3 linked regions of the Drosophila melanogaster genome follow. The protein of the gene in region 1 interacts with the protein of each later gene in a pairwise test. Each region holds a gene or a part of one and is shown in the gene's direction. Other genes may lie near its edges.

Region 1 (4,923 bases):
CGATCGCTGGACTTGAACAACGTCCAGAAAATAACACAAGAACGGTGATGGAAACCAAAGTATTCAAGGGCTAAGTGTTGATTGACATGAATGTGGCGCATATAGTAATGCAGTAGCCGTTGAGAGTCGGCTCAACATTGTGGAGTGATTAGCGGCAGTTAATCTACGTTCTGTTTGACAATCGCTGAGCTTAGGTAATCGCTTAGCGAATAACACAAGAACGGAGTTCACAATTAGCATTCTCGTGGATATTCAACTGTAGCAATCCTTTAGTAATGATGCAGTCCTGGTAAAGTAGACCCACCATTGTGGAGTGATTCGTTGCTTCAGTTTGCGTTCTGTTTGACGCTCGCTAGGCCATGAAAAGATCTAGCGAATAACACAAGAACGGTGGTAGAAACCAAGGTATTTAAAAGATTCTACGAGAGTGTGGCGAGCCGAAAAGTAATGCAGTAGCCCTGGAAAGCCGGCTCAACATTGTGGAGTGATAGCCGCATTAATTTACGTTCTGTTTGACAATCACTGGCTTTGGATGTAACTTCCAGCAAATAACACAAAAACGATAGAAAGTTCTATGTACATTTAAACATATAATCTTTCTATCCATCTGTTATCCCCCTTATTTGACTTTTCATTCTACTGTTTAAATGGTTTCAAGTATCGATTTGAGTGTGTAATGATGTGGCGAGCCGGAAAGTAATGCAGTAACCGTGAAAACTCGGCTCAACATTGTGGAGTGATAAGCTGCCATTAATGTACGTTCTGTTTGACAATCACTGGCTTTGGAAGGACAGCCAGCGAAAAACACAAGAACGATGTATCAAAAGACCAACTGTGGCCAATATTTGGAGATGCAGGACCGCAATGGCTTCTAATGCCTGCAATAACGAGTAATTGGCCCTGACTGTTCTGCGTCCCCTGGCGAAGATTGAGCTCCATGGCACGGAAGGCCCAAATATCGAGGGTACGCGCCTGCTAACACACACGATGCACTCTTCTTTGAGGTGGAGGATGCTTATGCTTACTTTGTGTTCAATGGTGGTCTGCTGGTTCTTGTCCAGGTGCACCTTGACCAGCTGGGAGCCGTCCAGCTTGACGCGGATGCGCTTGCCCACAATCTCGGCGGGGAAGACCAGATCCTCAAGGATGGCGTCGTACACAGCGGTCAGAGTCCTGGAGCGTGGACGCTTCTGCTTGAGGGGGTTGCGGGCCTTGCGCGTGGGCTTGGGCAGGATCTTGCGCTCCGCAATCACGACGACGTGCTTGCCCGAGAACTTCTTCTCCAGCTCGCGGACCAGGATGATCTGGATCTTCTGGAACACCTTCTGCTGTGGAATGGGCACGTAGATGATGACGGCCTGCGTGCAGAGTGGGTTACGGATTACTATTGAAGGCTCCACATGTACGCCATATACTGTTTACCTTCTTGCTGCCGAACTCGATCTCGCGGGCACGGGTGATGTGCAGATCGCGCAGGTAGGGCTTCAGGTCGCTGTTGGCCTCGAGTTCCACCAACGCCTGGGCAATGGACTTCTCGAAGTCATCGGGATCCGAGCCGCCGGGCTTGATAATCTTGGAGCCGATAGCCATCTGCAATGTTCATCACCGGTATTTTAGCTTTCGGTTCAATTACAAACACAAAATTCGCTGCGGCAGACGCTTCCCCACAACGCAGTACAATCACAAATCGCCGGCAATCGGCGTTATTTCGCCAGCATTTCTCTGGATTCACAAGAAAATCGTAATTTGCCATTATCATTGCGGCCTTTTCTCTTATTATTTCGCTGCACTGCGTTGTGGCGACCGCGTATTTTGGCCATTTTCGGCGACGGAAGAAAAAAAGTACCACCTTTGTCGACTATTTTGACAGGAAAGGAAGTCGAGCCACGACGTAGAGGTGGAAAACAGAGCGAGTTGTTATCGATGAGACACGCGCGAACGTTGTGCGATACTATCGATACAGTTGCAGGAGCAATTACTCGTCGAAAATACGAGGGATGGCTAAATATATAAAATTTAACATTATAACATAACATCCATTCAAGAAAATTTGATTATATTTCTTTGAAGTGTTTCAGCGTTTTAATGTTTTGCGTGTAAAAATCGATAGTTCTCAGCAAAGATTGTGTATAACGAATTTATGAGTTAGCATCGATAAGTTTGTATGCCACTATGGGTTTATGTTTGGAAAAACTTTATTATAAAATTTTTTTTTAATAAGTTAAGTTGTTAGCCTATAAAATTAAAAAAATTGTTGTATGAACAATATAAAATGTTTCTTTGAAAATATATATCGATAGGTTCGTTTAGGGTTATCTACCATGCTTCAGCGGCGAGTATCACCACTTATGTTGCGATTAAAGCCCCACAGGGGGCGCAATTGTTACCACATGTAACGTTTTTTAAAAAAAAGTAATTACACAGATTTTGGATTTTGGAATGGATTTCCATAAATTAGGAATTTAATGAGATTATTAACAACATAATAAAAAATATTAGTTATTGCCTTAAATATATGTGTAGATAATATTTACGCAGACATATTTAATCTTTTCAACGGACATTTTTAAGTTGATAATATTGATAATATAATATATGTAAATTCCAGTGCCATTTGCCGTATGAGTTTTAACCTACAGAATTGTAGAACTTAATTACTATAGAACACTATTGAATGAAAACTTAGTAACTTGTTGAGGTTTTTAGTAATTCCAAGAAATATGCTCTTGAATAAAAAACCTTTTTAAGTCTCTTTCAATGCAAAAACACGAGTTCTTTTTTTTTACATATTGTAATTAATATGTTTAAGGTCTAATTATTATTGTAAACGTTTTTCGGTGGGTTGATTGCCTATAAAGCCACTTGTTTTTCAGTCTAAATCATCAGTGTAAAATTCGGAAAACCCAGCGATCTAGTTATGAAATACTTTGTGGTCCTTGTCGTCCTGGCCCTCATTTTGGCCATCAGCGTGGGTCCTTCGGATGCAGTATTTATTGATATTCTTGACAAAGTGGTTTGTTTCTTCTTTAAACAATTGTAGTTTACAATGAAGCTTAAACATTTGTATTTCTACAGGAAAACGCAATACACAATGCTGCTCAAGTGGGAATTGGCTTTGCTAAGCCCTTTGAAAAATTGATCAATCCGAAGTAATTCTGCACTGCAATTTAATTAATGTATCGTTTAACGAAAATAAACACAAATTTTAAAATCTGAAAAACAACTAAGTTACTAACGCAAGACTTTTAGTTAAGTTAGTTAATATAGACCGAGATGTATGTACATACATACCGCTTTCGCTTACAATAAAATGTTAAATAAGTTTTCAGATTCGTACGTGCTCAGTAAACAATTATTTTTTATTGTCATTTAATGCCTATTGAATTTTTCAAACTTAATTTAGTGCCTTTAGTAAAATATTGTAGTGATTCCCCTCGAAAAATACCACAAATTGGATGCGTTTATGTAAATAAATTGCCCTTGAGTGATAGAGTAAATTTGAATTTGACTGTCTTAGAAAGATAGAAAGAGATCAATTCAAAATGCCAAAAGGATAGAGTTATTAAAGCTCTAATTCAAATTGGCCCAGAACCGTTTAAAGGATATTACAATTTGTAATTTACATATTTGGATTATAGCATTGAAATCCCCGATTGTTCCCTAGATGTGCAGATGTGTGCTTGGAATCAGATCGGTTACCTTCAGTGTACTTTTCTCTGCAAAAATCCCCGTGCATGCCTTATCTGTCATTTTGTTTTTCAAGCTGGCTGTTCGCCTATAAAAGCTCTCGCCTTTTGTATCGCAGTCATCAGTCGCTCAGACCTCACTGCAATATCAATATCTTTAGCTTCTCCTAAGAAAAAATCAAGAAAATATCACCATGAACTTCTACAACATCTTCGTTTTCGTCGCTCTCATTCTGGCCATCACCATTGGACAATCGGAAGCTGGGTGGCTGAAGAAAATTGGCAAGAAAATCGTAAGTTCTTCCATTTGAAATCTGTTAAGACGGAAACTAACTGACTAACTTCTTTTCGAAGGAACGCGTTGGTCAGCACACTCGGGATGCCACAATCCAGGGACTGGGAATCGCTCAACAAGCCGCCAATGTCGCCGCAACTGCCCGAGGTTGACCACGATGATTATTTATAATTATTTATTTAAAGATCTATTTATTCTGTTGCTCCCTGTAAATAAAACAATTTTAAAAATTTAAAGAATTCTATTCAAACTTTGTTTTTTAAAGAGTTGGAGAAAAGCGAACTCTTGAATTTATACACACATTTTAAATACACTTAAGAGGCATTATTTATACAGGATATTACAAATCGCTTCTTTTCCGATTTGGAAAGGCCGAGATTATGTCTTATCTGTTGAAATATAATTCGTTTCACCTATAAAAGGACCAGTCTTTTAGTTTAAATTATCAGTCGCTTGTCAAATACTGAAACAATTAGATTAATTTGTGGATTTTATTTGTCCTCATCCTGACCACTTATTGGCCACAATTGGAAGCTGGCTTCGACGGGACATTAGTAAGCTTAGTCATTTTAAAAGATTTCTTTGCATCTAACTATGATTCTAAATCCTCAGAAGGACGTTGGTCTATACACCCTAAATGCTACCCTGCAAGTTGCTGAAGTCGCTTCGAAAGCAGCCAATGTGGCAATCACTGCCAGGGGATAAACTTAAGTTAGGGTATTATTTATAAGAAATTAAATTAATAGATTTTATTTTATATATTTTTTGTATATTGTTATTCAAACTGATAATGTAATATACGCTTTTCAAACGATCATTCCAAATCAGTTGTGGGCTTATCGCAAATGATTTCGTAGTGTTTTTATTTTGATTGATTCAAAGAAGGGGTTTCCTCTCTGATTCTTAGTCTCCCGCATTGACGAGGTAAAAAATCCCTATGCA
Region 2 (10,166 bases), on another chromosome or scaffold:
AGCACTCCAGCATTGATTGACACAAGCACTTGTACTTGTACAATTTGCCATTTGTGTTTACCCAACTTCTTCGGTTTTTGTTCTCGCACTGGCTTTTGTTTTATATAAAAATACATCAAGAACGATTTGTTTTGTTTTCAATTTGTTAAGTTTCATTTTTTCCCCTTTTTTGTTCTGTTGACTGATGGCGTACGTGTTATATATTGAGAGCCCATTAAGATGGGGCACGGTAATGGGCACATAAAAAATGGCAATTGGTGAAAATTTGCTTATATCCGATGCTGATAAGCCATCGCAGATGTTCCGAGGTTTTTTGCCTTTAAGCGGTAATCAAAGCACACTTGACTCGAAAATTCTATATAACAAAACTGAAATAGCACATTGGCTGCGAAAAAAATGTAAGCTTCCGCTAAATGTCTAAAATAAAAGAGAAAACTTCAATTGAAATTCAAGCAGCGATGAAATACAAGTTTTTAAGCATTTAATCTAGATCTGGCATATCAGCAACTTATTTTATAGCTGCGGAAGTAGCTCATCCGAAAATGCACTTCGATTTATCAGTATATATGTATGCGTATGCTGAATCTACTAGACCACGAATGAAACAACGTTTTTTAAACTAATTAAATTGAAATAATCCCTTTGCAAAAAGCCCATTCCCCCAGATCACGTCACTTTGCGACTGCCAGCTTTAAATTCCAGCAATGTCTGATTTAATTAATGGCTTCCCACTCGGGGGCGCTATGACCGGACAATTCTAATTTATTATTTTGCCAGTCAGGACACAATTACTTTGCTTTCCCATATTTCACATTGGGGCTCCATGCCAGCGGAAAAAATAAGCAAAAAGCCCAAGCAAATGGGCGCAATGTCGGGCCAAGGTCATCGCAGGACTATTGTGTTGGTCCTGACTGAAAAGTGGGCGTTGCCCAGGTGTCAAGAGTCAAGTGTCAGAAGGACTCCACTGGTTCATATATTTCCATTCAACTGAAATGTGTACTCGATTTTCCTTTTTGTCCGAACAAAGACGTATTCTTTTTAATCCATGTAAATCAGACAAGATCCTTGACGACGCTAAGTACTTTGTGTGTCATGATTTAAGGGAAGTTTCGTATATGATTTATACTTGTTTGTTTCTCCCAGGCATATTTTTGATAAAACTGGGCTGAGCACATGTAGTTGAATCACAAAATGTCGTCGTTTTCGATAAACGCACTAATTAATCATCCGAAAATTTACATAATTAACTATTCTTTGTTAAGCTATAAAATTTCAGTAACTATGATTTAAGAAATGTAACATAAGAAAATAATATGTTGAATAAAAGAGAAACTCTATAAATAAATAACTACAACGCTTGTCAGTTTAGAATGCGAATGATCATTACAATTAACTAGGAGGTTTCTATCAATCCGATTCGGAGTGAAGTGTATTAGTATTTTTGTACCCGTATCAGCACGTGTTGCATTCAACCGCCTTATTCTTATTTAACTTGTTATCAGTATTAAACCCGTTATTATCTATAACTAATAGTGAAGTACACATAGCCTATACTATAATGTTTCTAATCAGGAAACCTTAAGATAAAGCTAAGTGGTATTTTTAATCTAAGCCAAATTCGCTAGTCTAAAGACGTGACATTAACTTTAAAACCAGGAATGACCTTTTCAGACTCGTCTACACACAATATAATTTTAAATATTACACACTTTTTGGCGAATTTACCCTAATAATTAGCCATTTTATGATTATGATAATAATGAAAATAAAATTAAAATAAAATAAAATAGTTTATAATAATAAAAATAATGTTATATATAAAGGTCGAACAGTTTCAGACCATAATGTAAGCAAACTATACATACAAAGTGTGCCTACGTTGTTTTCGGTGTACTATCTCGATCATTTCTACTCTTATATTTGACTTATACGATTACACTTTATTTTACACCAAGCTCACAGTCATAAAATTGTGATTATACGCATTTATGAGGGCCTCATAAAAGTGTGCTTGGATTTGTGATCTGCGATTTTGCGGTTATTAATTTAAAATGGCAAATATACTTCGAAGACAACACCCATAAAGATAAAGTGAATTTGATTTTACGTCAAAATGTCATGGAAAAGTTCGGTATTCTCTGCTTGGAGTACACTAAATTAATTAAAGAAATTGTTTGTGAAGACATGATTTCTGGGCCGATTTCTCTGATAAGAACACCGAAAAGCAACGGAAACTTTTCTGCAAGCGTCACTGTCTGACGTGAATGATGGGTGGGTGTAAATATTACCCCTAAATAACTATTTGCAGTCCATAAATTTACTGATTGGTCGGAATTTTCAATTTAATATTTTTGCATGGTTTGTGTCTTGGCTGACGCGTGTGGGGTGTGGTGAGTTTCGGTGCCTGGCATGTTGTGTTTTTAAGCGGTGCGCCCGCGCAGCTAAACAATTTCGAATTCATTCCCTTTCAAAACTTTGGATAGTGCAATTAAATTAAATCGATGAAGAATTTGATATATATATCTATAAACGAATAAGTTCTCTGATTAACTTTCTTATACTTACGCATAAAGCTTATATTAAAGCGTATAGAATGTAAACATAAAAGCTCATAAAAACTAATTTGTTTTTAATAATTAGTTACACATTTATATAAACATTTAGTTAATACGCATAATTACATTATTTAGTTTTTTATAATTTAATTAATATAAATGTGCGCTCTTCGCATGAATTTATCTCTCTGCCCCTCTCTCTTTATAAATCGCGCTCTTTCTGCGCCATCGTTTTTGGTGCCTTTGGCTTTTTGCTGCCAAATGCGGTCGCGCAGTTTTTGTCGTCGAGTCAAAGTGCGCGGATCACTCCTCGAGTGAGCTAACAATTCCTGCCGAATTGAATTAAATATTTGTTAAGTGCAAGTTAAGGTGTTAGCTGTTGTTGTTGCCGTTAAGTCGAGTTCGTAAGCAGGTGGCAAAGGTGCCAAAGTGAGCTAATAGCAAAACAAGGTAAACTTCTAATTGAAAGTGATCTTGAAAATGCATAAAGTACATAAACTTTAAATGGGCATATCAAAAAGAGAATATTTCAACATATGTGTATTATTAATGTTTTTAATTAAGTTTAGATCTAATCAAATCAGTTATCCTGCAATATTATGCTGTTAATGGTGTATTTATAAGCTTGTAATCGATTTATTTATATTTAGTTTTTGAGTTTAATATAAACTAATGAAATGTAATTGCTTATATAGCTAAATAGTGACAAATTTAATAATTTAAGTTAAGCAAGTATAATTCAAAGTAACTAAAGTTTCTCCCTGTGCACCGAAACTAATGCTGTAATACCGTTTTGCATTTTTTTCTAACCCCTTACTTCGCCATTTATCAAATCTACTTTGATCTGTTTTCCTCTTGTTATGATTTTTGGAATTTTGTGAGACCGCCCCCGCATGTCAATCGTAAAAATATAACAATTTATGTACAATTTTTACTTTTGACCGCCAGCACGATTCTGAGTAATTAAAAGCCGCGAATATAAAATGTTATTCTTGCCAAAAGATGTGTATTTGAAAATTCATACATTTGGGACATTTCATTGTGCTTTTCATTTTGAAACCAGCGTTGCGTGAAACGATGCGGTCGTGCGATCTGTTTAAGCTTTTAAGATTTCTATATGTTTTGGTATTGTGTTCATTGGCTAATTGTTATTTAGGTACGGCAATGCCATGATCCGATGATATGGTAATGGGTCTTACAGAGCTTGGGGCATTCAGTTCGCTTCATATCTGACACTTGTGATTGATGGGTTGACCGCAGCAATTTTCTGGTCTCTGATTTGGTAATTTAAGTGAAGAATGTCCATCAGAAGCCTGGCTTCACTGTGGCCCCGAACACGTGTGGGAGTTTGGGCTATTAACTTTGCAATTGCCTCTGTGTGTGTGTGGTTTCCCCCCACTTTTATCGCTCCTGCCCCTCCCACGTTCGGCGTTGCATACAAATTTAGGGCTTAAGTAAGTTTTATGGCTTTTTAAGTGACAAAGTTGCGGCAAACAATTGCAAACGTCTATATCGCCAAATGCCATCAGGCGACGAACGCAATTGGAGCTAGGCCAGATACAATAGTTCAAAAACAATGAATATGAAGTCCAGTTCCCTGATTTCAGGCAAAGTTAACAGCTAGTTCCTAAGCTTTAATAGTCTGCATTACATTGTTGTCCCTTAACTTTTTCAAAAAACACTAAAATAGTTAGAGATCATGTGACTGCCATATTGGTAATTACTTTGATGCCAATAAATGCTACTCAAAACGGCAATAGTACCGAAAACACTTGAAAAGTGGTCAAGATAATTTGTATACTCGCTTTTAGAGTCCATAAAAATACATCAAGAAAGCAAAGCCAAAGATATTAGCTCATCAGCTTCAGAAACGGGAGATTTATACCCGTGTTATCGGCATGTTTTTAAATTAATGACGAATGTCTGCGTATGCGGCGATTTTTCTTAACGACATTCTTCAATATTTGCATATAATTAAATTTTATTGGAACACATTTTTAGCCGCCCCTCGGTTCAATTCGGCGAGAGTTCAAGTTCATGAACCCCTTGTTCATACACGTTTCGAAAGTCACAAAAATGCCTCGAATGACGAAAATCAGAACGAAATGCGTTGAAATGCATTCGACTTTGTTGTGTGTGCGAAAATATGTGTGAATTATGTGGATTTTGTTCTCGCCGTTTGTGCTAATTTGTTGAGCAAACTTTTACTTTATTGTTCGGATATTATGCGAATTGGCACGGACCCACTTGTACACTGGCAATTAGCCACATTTGTTGGCGCGCTATTGAAAATTCCAGAATTGGTGAGGGGCATATTGGGTTTCCAATTATAAAACAAGCTTATCATCCATAAATTGCGGCCCGAAATAATCGCAAAGCAAACTTTAATCAGAGCCGATTAATTGCTTAGATTTTTCATTCGAGGACCCAACACCTTGTGGTTGTACATACACCATTTAACCATTCTCATTAGCTGCAACCAAAGTGATAATCAGCACCTGTGAATCCGCACTACGGAATGTCAGTTAGTAGCTGGCCAATTAAAGCATTTCATAGGAACTAATAAAGATTATAATTACATGCTCAAATTGTTGAATCCGTTTTCACAATGCATGATTAACGGTCGATGACAAATATTGAAACTCTCAGGTTTTTACCCCGTTTTCCTCAAACCTCCAGTCAATGGAAATTGTTGTGTGGGTAGATTTTCGCTCTATGGCAAGGCATTCCACTTATCCGTGGGCCCAACCTTAAGTCAACTCAATTACTATTTGATCATCCAGCGCACCCCCTGCACCTCAATTAAGGAATAGAACTCGCTTTTTCATATCAGAGCACTTGAGTCTATTGGCTGATATCGATATGGGGCTCATGCTCGTAGATGACGCAAATGAAACACGAAATTCATTAAGATTGCATTAGAAAAGTAAATACTCGAAGTGATGAACAACTTGAATGCTTTGCGAGCATAGAAAATGGGAATTAACATTGAGCGCTCACTGATTGATTACCAAATGAAATGATATATGCAATATAAATTATTTTATACATACATACTCGTATGTATTTTTAAAGCTCTCGATGTTCTTGATGTGTGGGGGCATGGCCAACAAGTCTTAGCCCATTTTTGGGCCTGTTCGTGACCGCGTTGCGCCAAATAAGAAGAGCAAAGCAAACGCTTTCCACTGATGCCACTCTAGAACACTCTAAAAAAAAACCAGGCCTAATCCCCCCGCGGCTACAAAAACTGCCGGTTAAAAACTCAATTGCGAGTTCTGTTCACTCCTGACGGCGTTGTGCTCAAATATTTACATCGTTTTTATGACCCGTTGCCAATTAAATATTATACACTTTGTTTGTTTTATATATATTCTCACATGCAGCTGCAATTGCTGATAAGCTGGCAGTCGTCGAGTTGAGAGGAGGATTGCCCAGTTACCCACTGGCTGCCTCCAGTTACCCACTTTTAATGACAAGTGCTAAAGTTGAGCATTTAATAAATAAACGTAGATTAAGAATTTTTGGGACACAAGCCTTGAGTTAAATGAAAACCCCTAGACTTTTCCAATTGAAGACCAGACAGAAGTGTCGGCCAATTAGGCATCGTGACGGAAATTGCAGCGGAAATGCAGATTGTCAAAACTGTCACCAAAGGCCAAAACAATATCGCACCTTAAATGAGTGATAAAAGTGGCTAAATACCTGCTGAAGTCGGACAATTGTCCACTTCCATTTTCAAACACATTTCCATTTGCATTTTGGATTGCCATTTGCATTAACTACCAGACATCGTTCACTGATATTTCCGTTGGTCTTTTTTTTCAGTCCGTCAGTTTTAGTTGAAAAGTGAAGCGAAGAAGATGGGAAAATTCGAATACTCACTGGGTCTCAATGAGGTGAGTGCAAATCATACAAAGACAAAGTTTAATCGAAATACCAGTCAGTTATTAAAAATATCATTAAATAATGCTACTTTACTTATTAATTTGTCTTCTAGCTCAAATCCAAGGAGCTGCGATTGTGGCAGGCCTTGATTGGAGAATTCCTTGGCAATTTGATCCTCAATTTCTTTGCCTGCGGCGCATGCACCCAAATTGAGGATGGCACCTTCAAGGCCTTGGCTTTTGGCCTGGCTATCTTCATGGCCATCACGGTGGGTGGCTCGTTAATCTACGACATTATTCATACCCATATTCAACTATATATCCTTGCAGATTGTGGGCCACTTGAGTGGTGGTCATGTGAATCCTGCCGTTACCGCTGGAATGTTGGTCGCAGGACGAATTAGCTTGATCAGAGCCTTTTTCTATGTGGTTTTCCAGTGCTTGGGTGCAATTGCCGGAACTGCAGCGGTTAAGGTAGGCATTACACACATAAATTATTACATACATCTGAGTGAAATTATTAAAACAAAATACTCATCAGATTCCACTATTTCTTATATCATCATCATCAATTATATAGAGGTCGTCATTATGACAAAAAAATCTAACCTATCTTTACTTCTATGGTATATCTACAAAACAGCATTGCCAAAGAAAAGTCATTTGGCTTGTAAGTGTCTCAATCAGAACTGCCAGATTTCAAAATCAAATCCAAAATGTAGTCAATTAAAAAAATGTATAAATAATAATAAATATAAATACTTACTCGTTGTAAGATGATTGTTTGCAATGCTTTTGAGCTTATCTCGCTTTCTTAAAATAACACACTGAGACACATATGTACATACATGTTATTAAGTTTATTATTGTGATTGCCTCACATCCGGTTGCGGTTAAAAATGCCTTGTGTTTTGACCATTACTTTCTTTCGTTGAGTGGATAAATGATACGGGTACGCCAATGTCAAGAAAGTACTTTGATTAAATACTCGTATTTTTCGGTTTTATTTTGTATTAAAAACTACACATTTTAAAAAACAAATGATTTAGTAGAAATCACCAGTTCAATGAATCAACTTAAAATCTAATAGTTTAAAGTATTTTTACATACTCAACAAAACTAAGAGCTATATTTATTTTTAAGATTAAGATATCTAATCTAATCTATCTATCTATCTATATATAAATATTTTTTTTATACCAACACATTAGATTCTCATCGATCAGGACTATTACAATGGCCTGGGTCACACCTCTCTGGCGCCCAATATCACCGAGCTGCAGGGCCTGGGAATCGAGTTCTTCCTGGGACTCCTGCTGGTGCTCGTCGTCTTTGGGGCCTGTGATCCCCACAAGCCCGATTCCCGCTACACGGCGCCCTTGGCCATCGGAATGGCGGTGACCCTGGGTCACTTGGGCACCATCCGCTACACCGGGGCCAGCATGAATCCCGCTCGCACCGTGGGCACCGCCTTTGCCACCGACATCTGGGCGTCGCATTGGGTATACTGGGTGGGACCTGTGCTGGGGGGCGTGGCTGCCGCCCTGCTCTACACCCAGGTCCTGGAGGCGAAGCCCGTGCCAAAGGTTAACGAGGCATCCGAGAAGTACCGAACGCACGCCGATGAACGCGAGGTGAGAGTCAGGTTGATAAGCGCCTGGAGCGAGGAGTCCTTCTACTGATCCGTGATTCCGCCCACCCATTACACACACACACACACACACACACCCATCACACACACAAACACTCACTCACACTTGCATTGTAAATACTCCCGAATTACTTGATTTCAGGGATGCAAACCGAACCACAACCCGAACCATTTGGCATATACATATCTCGCTTAACTATAACTATTAAATGTGTTATGTTTTATCGCTTTAGCAGCAGATATTCGTATACTAAAGATATTACGACCTGCACGCAAAACTAATCTAAACCGCTTTTGTGAACCGAATACGATTGGTTTAGAAACTCTTCAATCCTATCAACCGAACCCGTCCGCCATTTCGATCGGTTTGCATCCCTGTTTAATTAGCTAACTAAATTTTGTATTATTGCAATTTATTTACTTGCAGATGCGCAAACTGGAGGGAGCCCGTGACTACGCCTAGATATAAAGAAATCTTTGCGACTCGAATCTAGGGATACAGATGAAATCTGTGTGTTTAATCCATTCATTTCAGTGTCTAACATAAACATGTCGTGTTCTTCTACGTTCGTGTGTATTTATGTATTTATTCATGCAAAATTCATTTTTAACTAACTAATATTTAATGTGTAAGCTGCCCTAAAATGCAATCTACAACAAAATTACTTGTACTCTCATGCGCTCACAATAAAGTGGAAAACATTAACTGAAACAAACTGGTGTTTATCGATTTTGTATCTTAATATAAAATAAAATATTACTATAAAATTGCTATACCCATGAAAAAATTTAAGCAATTCAATAAAATTCGAAATAAAATATAGCTAGCTAAAATTTTCATTGGTTTTTGCATCTTTAAAAAGAGCGCAATGAAAAGCTTATGCTGCAAGCTTTTCCGGCCGAGTTTCCCAACACTCGGTATGCGGAAAAGCTCCGTGGCAGCATACGGCAAAAGCGCCATGCGCCAAAACTGTCAAAAAGCGTTAAGGGAAAATCGGAAAATCCGCAGTCGTCCCCGTCGTTGGCCATGTAGTTGCGTGTGACCTGCTAAATAAATTACAAAATTAACAAATAAAAAACGTCTATCGACACTAATTGGCCACAACTTACTGTTCAACAATTGATAAATTATTCGAATTAGTGAATTAAACAATTGGCAAGTGTGCACAGTTAAGTGAAAGGCCAGATGAAAATCAAGGCAAAGCGATGCACTAAAGTGTTGTGGGCCAAATCAATAGAAAAGCAGTGAAGGAGAAAAGTCACCAATCGACGGAAAAGCGACCGAGACCACGGCGAGGGTCGAATGCAAATTGCAGTAGACCTCGTTAAGGCTAAGAACACAAGTTGGCCGAGTTAAGCTGGCCAATCGATTCCGAGAATCGGGACCATCTTATGAAACAACGGCCCAACCGCCGACCCGGAAAAGTGTGAAACGAAAGGAAAGGAAAAGTGAAAAGTGCTGGGAAAAGTGGAGAGGCTGCAGCGTCGTGTAAACACAGAGTCGCACAAAATCAATACTCGCGTGTGTCTGGGCCAACGAAAACCAGGCAGTCAAACATGAACGAGGACTCCAATTCGGTTGGCCAGTAGTAACTGGGACTAAAGGCAAGTAGTTAAACGGTCTAAAAATATGCCATTCGAAGCCCTGCTCTGCACTTGACCCACTATGCAATTAGCTCGTTATAGCCATTAAAGCTTGATAAATGGCCAGGAAATGTGATCGGGAGCTATAATCATCGCTAAAACGTTGGCATTGCGCACACTTGTTGCACGGGAACCATAATTTGACCCACTTGCATGCATGCCACACACAAGTCGAAGACCAATATAATATGTATCTCTAATATCTTTGATGCAGTGGTGCATTTTTGCTTTAGCGGCTTCCATATTGGCAAGACTTTATTCTCGAAATTGGGTGGTGCGAAGCCAAAACCTTAACCTGAAAAGATCGATATACCGGGTATATATCAAAGGGGTATATTAGTTTGCAGTTCAAGTTAAAAACAGACTCTAAATATGTCTTTTAAAGATATGAATTTTAGCAATCGAATATACTGTATGTTTGCTGCAGCAATA
Region 3 (6,909 bases), about 22 Mb from region 1:
GAGGAAGCGGTCATCGATTGGTCTGGTCTTTGGGGCACAGGCCGCCCTGCTGGCCACTCGTGGCAAAGGTAACTTGCAGAAGAGCACCACTAACTCCAAGTCGATCGAGGCCATGCACCAGTACCACCACCACCAACAGCACCATCACAACCAGAGTCCGTTACAGCGGGCGCAGAGCAAGGAAGAGATGCGCTCCCTGCACCACCACCAGAACCAGCAACAACCGCACCACCAGCACCACCAAAACCAGCCGAACCCACCGCTGGACAGGCCCAAGCGCACATCCTGCTCCACACTGTCCCAGATAGCCGAGCATGATCGTTTGGTCGACCTGTCCGCTCCTCCAACATTACTCAACACCAGTGATCCCCTGTCCCCCGTGGACTTGGCACCCATCGAGGTCCCTAGCGATCAAGTGCATCAGGGTCTGGTGCAGACCATTTTGCCACCTCCCGACGCCTTTCAGTGCCCCACCCCGCTCTCCGATGACTACTCGGATCGTCCCTTTGGGAATAGTTCCGGTAACAGTGAACTGGCCCTGACCTATGACCTGATGACGAACTCGGAGCTACGCTATATGGACGAGAGCTCCGCCATGCTGGCCAGTGTGACGGCCAACTCGACGACCTCCCCGAATGACAGCGTCCAGGGGAAACCACCAGTCCTGCCTCCACCACCGCCCGCACGCCGAAATCCACCAAAATCGAACCTGAACCAGAGCCTCAGTCAAACTCCCAGCCAAAACCAGAGTCCCAGCCAAAGCCTGAGCCTCAACCTGAATCCGAATCACAACCAGAGTCAGAGTCAGAGTATCGAGGAGGCGGTGGCCATTGAAAAACGTCTTCTCGTCTCGTACACAGGAATCGAGGACTTTGCTAAGGTGAGGCGGGAGAGCTGCATTGAGGCCATCTGCCTGTTGGATGTGCCCGGAAAGCTAGCTGCGGACTGTCCCCATCGCCGGGCCTCCAGTCCTATGGAGACCAGCAGCAAGGATGCCATACTCTATTCCCCGATGCCACCAATGCCACTCTCACCCAAGGTAAAGACTTCAACGCCACAAACGGGAACGCCCCAGTCGGCGGCGGGTGTAACACCACCGGTGCCACTGGAAAGGATTGAGGAGCGAGAAACCTCGGACAGTAATACCAACAAGATGCCCTCCACCTCGGGCACCACCAGCAGTACGGGCGGTGTGGGTGGAGGCGGGGAACAAGACGGTGTTGGTGCCACCAAAAAGAACGCGGGGGATGACGATGCCAACAGGGAGGAGAAGAGTTTGGCGGCCAGCCGAAACTCCAGCAAAAGGGCATTCATTCATTCGATAGGAAAGCACTTCAAGAGCAAGAAGGCTCTACCCCTGATCCTTGGAGTGGGTGGACGGCAGAAGTCCAAGTCGGAGAATCGTGCTCGCAAAGCGTTTCGCACGATCTCGTTCATTTTGGGCTGCTTCGTGGCCTGCTGGACACCCTACCATGTGTTGGCCCTCGTCGAGGGATTCTGCCGGCATCCGCCCTGCATCAATGAACACCTCTACATGTTCTCGTACTTCCTCTGCTACGCCAACAGCCCGATGAATCCTTTTTGCTACGCTCTGGCCAATCAGCAGTTCAAGAAGACCTTTACGCGGATCCTCAAGGGGGATCTGCACATGACCTAAGATGGTTTGGGGATCTGAAGTGGTTAAGCTGCTGGTGGTTGAGTTAAATCCCTGATAGATTTCCATTTTGCACTGCACTTGCGCAAAGGACCAGACACTTCAGAGCCCCGAGAGTCTGGCGCCTTGCAAACTTTTCCATTCCCAAACCCCTTACACCTCCTTAGGCCCATAAGTTTTCTATACATACCCAACGAAAGTGCTCCGCTTAATGGAATATCTGCTGGATTTCGACCATCAGCAAAGTATTAGAATCAAACACTTATTAAATTCAAAATTTAATCGGTGGACAGGGAAGAGTTATCTGTAAGTAGCCAAAGGTGTGTGCTATAGTTAGAATCGTTGGGGGGGAAAACAAGCAATCCGATTTGGGATGCATACATAGGTCTAGAGTGGCACTAAGCGGGGCGAAATGTTTTAGACAATAAATATTTTAATGTTAATAACCAATCTATGATAACCATGCAAAGTATATGATATGATAGCTAATAAAATAAATTAAGCATAAGATATACACATTTACCGAGACTAGAAAACCCTACAAACCAAAACTCTAAAGCATATCCCAATATAGAATAATACTTCTTTTGTTGTTCCGCAGAATATATCAATGAAAAGCAGACATATGAAGGGGGTAGGCCATAAGAAGACCAAAGAAAAGCATGTTAACCCTTTGAGGGATATGCCAGTCGAAGCCCTTTTGACGGTGACACTTTGTCGAAAACTACGCAAAATCGGACCTAATTTTGATTTCAAACGTTCATAGAAACTTTCTTTTACAGTTATTTTGGTAGGTTATAGTACTTAGAATATTGCAAAAATATAAACTGTGTTCAAACTTTTTCGACGAATGGTTGCCGTCGTGGGGTTAAGCAGTTCGATGTCAATCCTGCAGCAGATATACGATTTTAAGAACACAAAACCCAGCATACATACCCGCGTAATTGTCTATGGATATATGCCAGACAAGTTGAAGAGTTTTGTTTGAATATTCATGAGTGTAGAGCATACGAAGATACATACATATAGCTACATAGATGTCAATTTTTGCGCAAGCCAGCAACTTATACTTATACGGATATATAGACGTCTCCTTAGCGCCTTTGCCAAGTTGCCTAACTGAGTTCACTCTCATTCTGAAAATCTTTGTTCTCGGTTGAAGTACTTTGTTATTTGTTAACCGTTTCGTTAGCCGATTCGATTCGTTTTCCAGTGAGTAATGTGCTAAACAAGTTTTTGCTTTTGTTGAACGTTTCCATTTAGCACGTAAGTGATAAGTGTAACAATAACTAAAATTATTACTAAATAAATAAATGAATGAATAATTGCATTTTTTATGATACGAAGGGTGACGCTTTTTTTAGGTAAGTAATGATTTTATTTTTAGAAGTGTAGCGACTACTTTCAATTGGTTTTAAATTATTGTTAATTGAATTCTTTAAATTAATTTGAGTTAAAAGCCAGAGCTATTTTTTCTTTAAGTATTTTTTTTTTTCAAAATGATTTTCGAAAACGAGAACATCCAAAGTTTATATAGTGTTGGTTAATGCCAACCCGAGCTAACTTTGAAATTAAATTCAAATTGAAATGGAAAACAAGGGACGATAAGTGCGAGTGTCAATCGCCACGCGTAGTCCACGATCCGCAGTCGAAGTGTTCGGTGGTGTTCCAGGTGCAGCAGCAGTTCCCGATCCCCATACCACCTCCTAGGCAAACCAACGTCAGCTATAGTTAACCCACTTACGCTGAGGTCCGATCAAAGTCCAGTGATTTGAATACCCCAACCTTTTGTGACCCGAACGCCTGCTCGACATGGAGATCATTCTACGACTGCTGGCCTTCATTCTGAATGCCTTTGGCATGTTGGTGAATAAGATTCTAGATTTTGTATTGCCCCGTCAGAAACCCAAATTTTCGGGCATTCGTAATCCCCTGCTGAAGAAGTCCGTCGTTGAATTGGTCACCCAATTGCGACGCGGCGAGGTGAGTCTCCAAGTCCAATCGCGTCATTCGTGTGGGACATTTGCAAGTCATATATGTCGGGGTTCGATTCCAGATCACCTCGGTGGAGTTGGTTAGCGCCTATATAGCACGTGTGCAGGAAGTGAATCCTTCTCTGAATGCCGTTGTCGAGGATCGATTCGAGGCTGCCCTCCAAGATGCAAAATTGGCAGATCAGTTCATCGAAAAGGCGAGCTCTGAGTTCGATCGTGTGGCCCTGTACACCAAGTATCCCATACTGGGTGTACCGTTTACTGTCAAGGAGTCATGTGGTCTTAAAGGTATGTTTCAGATACTCAAAATCACTAAAAATATAGCAGAAACTTATATTTTTCACTGGTTAATAGGATTATCCTTTGCCGTGGGCAGTCTTGCTCGCAAAAATATGAAAGCCCCCCAGGACGGCGATGTGGTTGAACTGGTCCGTGCTGCTGGTGGCATACCCCTTTTGGTGTCTGCCAATCCAGAGTTTTGCATGAGTTTCGAAACCAGCAATAATATCCAAGGACGTTGCTTGAATCCATATGATCTGCAACGAACTTCCGCCGGATCTTCTGGCGGCGAGGCATCATTGAATGGCTGTGGAGCCACAACTTTTGGTGTGGGCTCCGATATCAGTGGTTCCATTCGCCTGCCGGCTCTGTTCTGCGGCGTTTTTGGCCACAAGCCCACTGGCGGGCTTACGTCGGTCAAGGGTCACTTCCCCTACTCGTTGACGGACAAGAAATTCTCCGAGATGCTGCAGATCGGTCCCATCACAAGATTCGCCAGGGATTTGCCCTTGCTGTTGGAAATAATGGCGGGCGATAAAAAACACAAACTGAAAATGTCTGAACCAGTTGCCCTGAAGGACATGAAGGTGAGATTTCCCAAACTAGGAAATGTATAATAGTCAAAGCTTATTTTCGCTTAGGTATACTATGCCTTTGGATACTCCGGCTTTAACTGCCTCACCCATCCCGTGGTGGACTTCGACATAAAACTGGCCATCACCAAAGCTGTCACGTGCTTGGAAAGAGGAGGTGTGCAGTCCAAGAAGGTAAGTACAACTTTGTAGAGTTTCTCGACCTAATGCTATTTTGCCAATCAGTTGGATCTTAAATTCCTGAGAAACTCTCTCGAGATTGCCCTGGTTTCCCTGGTGGACTTGAAGGGTCTGCCCAGTATCGTAACACAGCGGGCGGATCGTGATCCATCGATGCGTTTGCTGATGGTGGAACTCTTCAACAGCATCATAGGTCACTCAATCTTCACCAAAGAGGCCATGGTACTGGAGGTGATGAAGCGATTCAACGGCCTTATGGCCACTGGAAACATGGAAGAATACCGAGTTGAGGCCCAGAAAATAAAGAGCCATCTGAATGTAAGCGAATTAAATCATTCTTGAAGTTATACTGACCATTTAAAACCCATCACAGCAATTGCTTGGTACCCAAGGAGTCCTCATCATGCCCACCTTCCACACTAGCGCCCTATGTTTTCACACCTCGCTGTTAAACGTGACGGGGATCGACAATCTGCTGCTGTTCAACATCCTTGGTCTGCCCGCCACCCATGTGCCCATGGGCACAAATCAACGGGGAATGCCCATAGGGTTGCAGGTGGTGGCCGCCCAATATCAGGACAAACTCTGCCTGAAGGTCGCCGCCGAACTGGAGGCCGTTTTTCACGGCTGGGTGCCACCGGTACCACATGACACATGAAACACCAAGCGAGGATCGGGGGTACCTGCTCAGTTTTCCATTTAAGGTTAAAGGTTAAATTTTGTTTAAAGTGCTAATATAGTTGTGAAGATTAAAGTGAACTTCGTTTAATAAATGACCACCAATATTTGTTTATATTGGAGTGTTTTTTTTTTTTTTTATTTCCATAACATTTTTCGATAGATCAATATAACTTTTTAGTTTTGTGTACAGTCCCTCTAAAGCTGACCTGCAACAACGTTATATTGACGTTAGCTTGACTCAAAATCGATATCTAAGACAAATGGGCACTCTGCGAAGCGATAGAATATCCTACGTCTATCGGCACTTCAGCTGAAATCTTCGCATTTTAATCAACTTAATCAACCTTGCAATTACAACCATTGAAATGGGTAATATTTTTAGGCTTCGAAGACAACATAGAGTGAGTACAAAAATAATGCATTATGTGCTGAGCCCCGTCAATTACATTTCCATCGCAGACTGACAATCCTATGGAAAACCAAATTGAAATTTCCGTAAGTGCTTAAAATTTTAATTTGCCATTGCTTTAATGTTTGATTGCCCTCAAGGACGAGCCAGGAATCTATAGCTTAAGAAGGACAAGTCCCGATGAAAATGGGAACATTTTTGTGAATCATGAGATAAACCATGCTGCTTGGAGTAACCCAGCCCCAATTCGAAATGGGAGCTATCACAGGACCACTAGACCTGGTTTTGGTGGTCATCATTCATCGGTGCAACCAATCTATGAGGATTCGGACCAAGATGAGGGTGTCGAGGACTTGAATTCCGTATCTGACAGGGAGAACTTTGAAGTCGAATAATGCTAATAATATGAAATGTTAAATCAAAATATAAAATACTCTATTCGTAGAATTAAAAATTTATTTTCTTTAGTATTAAAAATACTCCTTTTTGAAGTACTCACCGCATTGCCGAAAGATCTAAGGCACCAGGGGATTCTAACCGCCATTATTCCAGACTTTGTAAAAGAGTGAGATCCCGAATCAATCAGTGTTTCGGTACCGCGAGTGTAGAGAATTAGTTATAGCCTCTCTTAGTCAATCACTCCACTCTCGCTGCGAAATTGTTTACGTTTCGTAAAAAACTCTCCACCTCTTCCTTCCACCTTATCAGCACCTTCCCTACCCTATATAGTAAAATTGTTGTTTTATTTATGAGTCGAACTAATGTCCCGTCAGTTGACTAAGGACAACGCCAAGAAATAAAAAATAGTTTTTAGGAGAAATAGTTTCACGACTTTATTCTTTGGATCTCAGCTTAAGACTAAAAATCAAATGCAAATTGGATTGAGGAGAAGCCTCAGTATTTGAACAATATTTGTATTTCGGGAGAGCCTCGCTCTTGGGTTCTTAAGATTAGGTAGCGTTGAAAGAGGGCAGTCAAATCTGCTTAGGTCAGGCTTTAGGATGTTTACAAGAACGGCTGCGCTGCCAAAGATAAACAAATGCTGCGCAGCTGGGATACGTTATGGAAAATTACTAGAGTGCATTACTGATTTCTTTGAAATAATGGAAGTGGCTGGTT

What was found.
Region 2: the proteins of Anp (region 1) and Prip interact in a two-hybrid assay, tested with the Drosophila melanogaster proteins (one large-scale study listed by BioGRID).
Region 3: the proteins of Anp (region 1) and CG7910 interact in a two-hybrid assay, tested with the Drosophila melanogaster proteins (one large-scale study listed by BioGRID).

The regions. Positions count from the first base shown.
Region 1 is NT_033777.3:30,207,068-30,211,990, forward strand, and holds Anp (andropin), read left to right. Parts: upstream 1-2,880; 5' UTR 2,881-2,917; coding exon 2,918-3,013; intron 3,014-3,075; coding exon 3,076-3,153; 3' UTR 3,154-3,315; downstream 3,316-4,923. Other genes in the region: RpS7 (ribosomal protein S7), read right to left, coding at 1,026-1,358, 1,423-1,590; CecA1 (cecropin A1), read left to right, coding at 3,881-3,979, 4,041-4,133. UniProt on the Drosophila melanogaster protein: Male-specific peptide with moderate activity against Gram-positive bacteria.
Region 2 is NT_033778.4:11,433,418-11,443,583, forward strand, and holds Prip (prip), read left to right. Parts: upstream 1-2,825; 5' UTR 2,826-3,005; intron 3,006-6,380; 5' UTR 6,381-6,415; coding exon 6,416-6,451; intron 6,452-6,552; coding exon 6,553-6,708; intron 6,709-6,769; coding exon 6,770-6,913; intron 6,914-7,650; coding exon 7,651-8,073; coding exon of another isoform or gene 8,074-8,121; exon of another isoform or gene 8,122-8,203; intron 8,204-8,232; coding exon 8,233-8,286; 3' UTR 8,287-8,323; coding exon of another isoform or gene 8,324-8,344; 3' UTR 8,345-8,455; intron 8,456-8,517; coding exon of another isoform or gene 8,518-8,553; 3' UTR 8,554-8,799; downstream 8,800-10,166.
Region 3 is NT_033777.3:8,084,076-8,090,984, forward strand, and holds CG7910 (uncharacterized protein), read left to right. Parts: upstream 1-3,176; 5' UTR 3,177-3,466; coding exon 3,467-3,637; intron 3,638-3,710; coding exon 3,711-3,936; intron 3,937-4,002; coding exon 4,003-4,514; intron 4,515-4,568; coding exon 4,569-4,694; intron 4,695-4,745; coding exon 4,746-5,018; intron 5,019-5,073; coding exon 5,074-5,358; 3' UTR 5,359-5,451; downstream 5,452-6,909. Other genes in the region: mAChR-B (muscarinic acetylcholine Receptor, B-type), read left to right, coding at 1-1,657.